Linked DNA regions of Elephas maximus indicus. The protein of the gene in region 2 interacts with the protein of the main gene of each other region in a biochemical or structural test. Links are inferred from orthologs where the notes say so. Each region holds a gene or a part of one and is shown on either strand. Other genes may lie near its edges.

The links. The genes of interacting proteins can lie anywhere in the genome.
Region 1: the proteins of GOPC (region 2) and SSTR5 form a complex in vitro, tested with the Homo sapiens proteins (2 studies listed by BioGRID and IntAct, with this or other methods). The link is inferred for Elephas maximus indicus from reciprocal best matches to the Homo sapiens genes GOPC and SSTR5.

What each region holds. Positions count from the first base shown.
Region 1 is NC_064830.1:58,234,205-58,237,950, reverse strand, and holds the start of SSTR5 (somatostatin receptor type 5), read right to left. Parts: upstream 2,302-3,746; 5' UTR 2,231-2,301; intron 1-2,230.
Region 2 is NC_064819.1:184,796,173-184,799,918, forward strand, and holds the start of GOPC (Golgi-associated PDZ and coiled-coil motif-containing protein), read right to left. Parts: upstream 2,656-3,746; 5' UTR 2,421-2,655; coding exon 2,133-2,420; intron 1-2,132.

The sequences.
Region 1 (3,746 bases), on a different chromosome or scaffold from region 2:
AAAAAAATACCGAGAAAGGGCTTTCAGCCCATCCCAGGTGGGACCTAAGGGGGTCCGGGTTGGCTGGGGGACCTGGATCTGCTTCCCATGGGAGGAGGAGGGGCCAAATGGGCTCAGACCACCTCTGAGGCAGGCCCTGGGTTCCTGGGATGTGCAGCGATGAACACATGTTTGATTTTAAATCAAATCAATGCCTTTTCTTCACATGTGAAGTTCTGGGCTGCTCAGGGCTCCTCCGAGGCCGCTCCCAGCACCCCAGGACTCACAGCCAGCAGAGCCGGCCTCAGGGCCGGCAGAGCAGACTGCCAGGTCCCTGGCTCTGCCATCCCCATAAACAACCCAATTCCCAGGCTAGATCCAGCAGTGAAGAACAAAAACAGGCCATCAGTGCTGTGCCTGCCTCTCGGAACACAATTCCACAAGAACCATTATTCAGAGTGGCAATCCTCTTAGTCACAGAAATTATACACTCAGGAAAATTGCCCCTGGGCCCTTTCCCCTGGGCCAGGTGTGGGGGTGGGAGTTAGTCAATGGAGGGGGATTCGTGAAACTCACCATGCTTGACAATTGGGGTCCCCCACCAGAAGGGACTGGCCCAGCCTGTCTCTTGCCGGCCCACCACGTGGCTCAGGGAATGAAAAGGCCCCCCCCTCCCGCACACTGTCCATGTGACCTGGGTAAGTCCTTTCTCTCTGAGTTCTGGTTCTTGTAACTGATAGCCCCTCCAAGCTGCAAAGCTGCTGAGCAGATAAGTTAAGCTCTGGTGTTCAGAATGCTGCCCTGCACACAGTGAGTGCTCAGTAATGGCTCCTGTGAACCCCACAGCCTAGCTGTAGACGCAGGGCTCAGGGAGGCCCGAGTTTCTGGAGTCAGGTCTGCAGGGAAGGGGCAGCCATGGGGACAGCAGTTGGTCTCTGGTCATGCCTGACCTCCCCAGCCATAGATTCCTGACCCCGCTTCCAGCTCCCTCCTCTCCCTCTGGTTGTCAGGCCTAGGTGGGGTGGTCCCAGGAAGCGGCAAAGTAGGGAAGCCTGGTTGGCATGCAACAAATGGCAGCCCCATGCAGCCCCTGCCCACACACTCCCCTGTCCCTCAGGCAGCATGTGGCCAGGCAATGTAAATTCCCAGAAGAGGCAGCTGAGTAGAGTAGGCTGGCATGGCTCAGGGGGTAGAGAGGGAATAGCCCCCTTCAGGGTCTCAATCCAGGGCACATGCCCACTTCACTACACAGTCTCACGAAGCCTGGAGTTAATGTTAAACCACTGTCATTGGTGCAATTGACCACTTCCGCCTGGGAGGTCCCCCAGTAGCTGCCCCAGGGGCCTGAGCTCTTCTCTAGAGGCTCAGCAGCCTCTCCCTACCCCTAACAGGCTCAACTTTGTGCAGCCAGCTTTCTGGGCCTCACCAATCCCAAGGGCCCCAGGCCGCTGTCAGGTGGCACAGCAGGGCAGGCAGGTGAGCAGGTAGGGGCCACGGACACTGCACAGGTATCAATGTGGGAGGGCTATGTGCTAGGTACTGGGGAGGAGCAGGTATCCTGACCTGGTGGAGGGCTCCCAGTGACTAACTTGCAAACCTTGGAGAGGCGGTTCTTAGAGAGTGCATGGAGGGCTCCTGATCTAGGAGAGGGGACTCACCAGGATCCCTAGTCTGTGTGTGCCTGCACCTGCCCTGAGCTGGCCTGGCTCTGGGGACCCATCCTGCCTTTGAGCCTGATCACCCACGCTGGCCCTGCCACCCTTGGCCAGCTCCCCTGCTCTCTGCTCTGAAGGCCCCCTGCTAGCTCCCTGCTCTGGTTCTTGCAGCTCCCTCCACACACAGCCCTCCCCAGCCGCGCAGCGCCCCTCTCCCAGCCCCAGGGGCAAGCCTCACTGTGGCGTCCACGGAGGGGAGGCCGGGCCGAGGGGGTGGGGGTGGACTTCAGCGGGCAGAGAGGGCTGTCCCGCTGAGGTTTCTTCCCCGACTCGGAGCAAAGGGAGCCCGGGGTCCCAGAGGCCGGCGTACACCGGGGTCAAGGGGGAAGGGGTGCACCGTGAAGAGAAATGAGAGGGTCTGGAGCGGCTGAGGTTGGGGAGGGGACCGAGGGGGAGGAACACGGGGCAGCAGGTGAGCCCGCGGATGCCTAGAGGGGGTGATGGGGGAGGACGATTGGTGTCCATGCCAGCGGAGAAGAGGCGCGCGGGGTGCAGGCGGGGGAGGCCAGGAGCAGTAAGTGGGGAGGAGGGCTTACCTGGGCAGCAGCGCCCCTGTCCCCAGAGCCCTTGTCAGCGCTGCGCTCCTGGGGAGCTGGAGCTGCGCGGAGGCGGTGGCGCGGGGCTGGGCGAGTGGGGGGCGGGGCGAGTGGGGGCGGTGCGGGAACACTGAGCCCGAGGGGGCGGAGTGCGAGGGGGGCACCCAGCAGGTCCTGGTCACAAGCTGCCCACCGCAGCTGCATCCCCATAGGCGGAACCCCCTTCCCCAAGGTTGTGCCTCACGCTAGACCCCCGTCTGGGGCTCGGGGTACCCACTGCAAGGGCGGGGCACAGCAGAGGTGCAGACGAGGCTTGGAGGGGCTGAACCAGGGCCCTCCACCACTCCTGTCCAGCCTGAAGGGTCCCTGCACACTGGGAGGGGCACACGGCAGAAACCAGGCCTTCGCTTGCCTCCCCCAGGACCTGGGGCTACTTTGGGAGCAGGCCTCTGACACTCCCAGAATTTGGGTCCTGGCCACCCACCGCCCATTCCACTGTTTCTCTGCAAGAGAGTCTCACAGGGCGCTGGAGCAGAGCTGGCATCCATCTTGTGCCCGTTTTTGAGAGGTGGTGATGGGTCTTTTGGGGGGATTGTGGCTGGCCCTGGTGCAGACAAGTCCCCAGCAGGACTCAGACCTGTGCTCAGGAAGTCACCAGCCATTCCCACCCCCATCTGCCTGGTGTCCCCAGCTCCCCAAGAGCTGCACAGACCCCCCTCCCCGTGAAAACCTGCCCTGCCTGGCATGAGGCCAGACACCCAGCTCCAGGAAAAATGGAGTCAGAAAGTGTAAACACCCCTCCCCTGAGTGGAGCCCTCCTGGCCAGCCTCCCAGCTCCTCCATGGGCCTTGCAGGCCTCTGAGGGGCAGCTGTCACCTAGCCTTGCTGGCTGATACGGACACTGCTGCCCTTGAGGGGGTGATGCACTGAGGACTTTAGGGACCATTGCCAGCAGGCAGACATGCCATGCTGAGGCCCAGATGGTCCCATAAGTGGTGACAGTGGGTGGTTGTGCTGGATGAGGAGAGAAATGATGGCTGTTGCATGTCCCACTGTGTGGCCTGTTGCTGACACAGCAGGTTCCAACAGAGCTGGAGACTCACGGGGCCAGGCCTGCTCTTCATGAGAGGGATGAGGCTGTAGACAAATGAACAAGACTCTGCTTCCCTGAGCTCAGCATGTACAAAGAGAGAAAGAGATGGTAAACCAGAGACAACTTAAAATGGAGAAAACTTCAGCTTGTGGTGAAAACTGTCAAGGAAAGAATCGGGCTGATGAGGGAGCCTCTGCGCTGCGGAGGATCAGGCTAGGTGAGGCCCTGCTGGGGACACTCTGCAGAGGTCTCGCCTAGCACAACAAGGGAAGATTGCTGTCCAGGAGCCATGGCAATAGGGCTGGCCAGCTGGACCCCCCATGAACAATCCCAGACCCCTCTCGAGGGTGTCGAGTGAGCTGTGACTCCATGTGGCCCATGACCCCATTTCCAGAGGCTGAGGCCAGAGGCTGGAGGATGTGA
Region 2 (3,746 bases):
AGCGACCCTATAGGACAGAGTACAACTGCCCCATTCGGTTTCCAGGGAGCACCTGGTGGATTCAAACTGCCGCCCTTTTGGTTAGCAGCCGTAGGTAGCTCTTAGCCACTACGCCACCAGGGTTTCCATACAAGGTGTAAAAATTACTAAATTATGGAAGATTAATACTACAAACAGACAAGTCATTATAATGGAAAAAGCAAGAAAACAAAAAAACCAAATCAAGTTTACGTCTCTCCCTCTACATTTTCTGAGACCTTTAAATGAAGAGTTTCAAACATGTTGAAAAATATGCTCACATTGTGATTCGCAAGCATTTCTTATTTTGAAAAATAACGCCACCTCTAAGTCAGGGCATGAAGTCAGAATACATAATTATAACTTCTGAGAAAAAGAGCATGCATAATTTATTACAGCTTTGAATACTCATCTAAAATGCTTAAAGATGAAAAAAAAATTGAGCACTACCTCCTACTCACATAATGATTCTTTCTGCAAAATTAGATTTTAAACCGGACATCATAATATCACTGTTTAATGTTTCCGCAAGTCATTTACAAACCTGCAGTTGTAAATGATAAAAAAAGTTCTCATGTGACAAAAGCTCCTCTCCTACTTTGTTATTCAAAGCTCAAGTACTATTTCTAAGTACCATCAGATGCAATTTCACTACTTGAAAAAATAACTATCTTCTAGAAATTACTATCAATCAAGAAATCAAGAGACATTTTTATTCTACCTAGAAAAGCCAATTATTACCTTCATATCAACACTTTCATTCTTACCCTTTTAAAAAGGGTAGAAGAAATTAACAGTCCATTCAGTGGAGAAGAGGCAGAAAATCTCAGATGTGCAAACCAATGTTAATCAGATTATACCACTTTTTTTATGACTGACAGAAAAGCGAAAAAATGCTGACCACTAAGCGAAGAGAGGATGCATCTCTGATATTCATATCAATTTGGATCTGATGGGTAGTTTCAATTATCATAACTAGTAGCAACAATGATTTCTTAGGAAAACTAATGTTCAAAGAGTTTTGCACATCACTGATTATCCCATTTTTAATCTACTTTTAAAAGACTCATTCTCATTTAAATTGCCTAATTTTTTTTAAATTAGAAAATGCTCTTTATGTAATTATTTAATAAAATTAATCTATCATGATTTCTAAATATTTTAATAATGCCCTAATTTCATTTTCTGCAAAATGTGGTAGGGTTTTTTGTTTTTTGGGAGGGGAAACCACCACCACTCGCCCACACCCACCCCAAGATTACAGACTAAAACAATCATTCTTTACACACTCAAAAATAAATTCAGACTCTGGGAAACACAGTAAAGTACAAATACACAAAGTTCAATGTTAGAAGCCATTTGAATAACTGCACGGGGCTCTGGAGATGTCTGCCTGTAACCTAAGGACCAACTGTGGATGTAAACCGAGAAAGGCAATGATATTATCATATTTATCCCACAAATTCTAAGAGCTTTGATCAAATTCCCCTAAATAGTTCATGCATGCAGAGAATAGTATGTCTCTGTAACCGCAGATGCCGGTCTGGAATAGTTTAAAAAAATAAGTAAATAACCAGGCCTGTATCTGTCTGGTGTGATATGCAAACTTTGTTTTATCGACGTCTTAAATGTAAAAAGGTGGGCTAAGGTATTCATTCTTATGACAGAGAATCTTTGAGCTTAAGTCTTGGCTGGTGTAATTAGTTCCTGTTTCTTCCCCATTGAGGTGCTAAGAAGGTGATGACACGACCCCGGGAGACCCACACGTCTCTTCCTCCGTACCTTACCTACCCTGGTGGTGTAGTGGTTAAGTGCTACGGCTGCTAACCAAAGGGTCAGCAGTTCGAATCCGCCAGGCGCTCCTTGGAAACTCTATGGGGCACTTCTACTCTGTCCTATAGGGTCGGCTAAGAGTCGGAATCGACTCGACGGCACTGGGTTACCTTACCTAACTCCTTTCTTCACACACACACGCGCACTCTCCCATCACATTCATAGCCCAGGTGCCCCTGTAGGCAGTTTTCTGGAGTTGTTTCACTGGTGTATCTAAATAGGATCTAACGCCACCAGGCAGCCTGGGACTGAATGTGGCCCCGCCAGCGCCCTCTGCTCACCTCTAGCTTGTGGTTGATTTGGGACACAGTCTGGGCTTTATGGCAAAGCTGCGCAAAGCAGGAGCTCAGGCTGGTCATCTTCTGTCGCCCCTCATAAGTAATGTCCGCCTGGTCCGGATCGATCTCGCCCAGGAGTAGATCCACATCCACGAAGGCCTTATCGAACTCCTTCTCCAGCACCTCCAGCCACCGGAACATGGATACCCCGCCGGGGGAGACCCCCACAGCGCAGGAGGCGCCCCCTGAGCCCCCACCGGCCCCCGCCGGGCACGGGCCGCCCGCCGACATGGCGCCGCCTAGGGCCTCCCCTGCCTGCTGCTGACCCCCGCCGCCCACCCTGCGCGAGGGGAACTGCTGGGACTATGGGGACCCCCGCGCACGCACGTTCCGTCGTACCCCGTCTTCCCCTCGCGCGGCTAACGCCGGCAAGGTAGGCCCGCAGTGGCAAGAGCAGCGAGGCTGAGGCGGCGGCGGTGGCACACGGAAGACCCGGGACCGTCCCACCTCCGTCCCGCTCCCACTGCGCATGCGTAGCAAAGAGGCAGGCGGACAAGGCTGGCGGGGACGAAATGGGCGGGGCTAGGATAAGACTTTGGCCTATGAAAGGCCTGTGCTCGGGACCGGCTGTCAGCGGCCATCTTGACAACTGGCTAACTCCAAGTTGGATCCCAGAGAAACAGAGGCGCATGGTGTCTGCTTCCAATTTGGAAAGATCGGCGGGAGAGAGGATATCCACGTCGCAGAAAAGAACGGCTTCCGCCCGTTTGACTTCACAGTGGGCGGGAGCTATTCTAAAGTCTGGGAAAGTTGCTGCAGTAGAGTCCGGGGGCAGGGAGTGGAAAGCTTGGAAGGGCAGAGTGAGCATGCGCAATAGCCACGTTTTACCTTTCTTCTTTCCAGTTCCTGTTTAGGGTGGAGTGTTGGATACACTGGCTCTTTTTGTTAAACCAGGCCCTAAACTCTGGGAGGGAACTGCTTAAAGCTGCAGGTTGAGGAGAGCGCCTGACCAGGTTTTGCCGAATTAATAGAAGACCTTTTGTCTCGTGATTAAGAGGCAGGCCTGGGTTCAAGTGTTATGTTTCACACCCTGGCTATACAGCCTTCGTCGTGTTACTTAACCTCGGAGTCTCAAATTTTACTTCGTTCAGTAATAAGGTAAAATGCTTAGCATGGGTGCTTGGCACGTGGTATTAGGTCCTGTTACACCACAGATCATACATTTCAAAAACAACTATTTGAAAAGTGCAAGTGTTGAAGGAATCACTCAATTATTTAAAAAAAACTGGGTAGTGTTCAACACGTGACGTTTCAGAAAAATTAAACAATTTAAGTGGATATCCCCAAAGAATGGCTTGTTTTCCCCTCTCATTATAGAGCTCATGTTGATTTCTTTTTGAAACCATACATCGGAATGCAAAATGATTATATATTGTATGTATTATTAAAAAAGAAGAAAAAACCACACCCGTTCTTGTGGAGTCAATTCTGACTCAACGTACAGGCGCGCGCGCGCGCACACACACGCACACCCCAGTCTCAGTGCTTTTACTGTCAAATCTTAATCTGAAAGGGAAGGAAGCACTCAAAGGCATAATACTATGTTTAGTACTACCT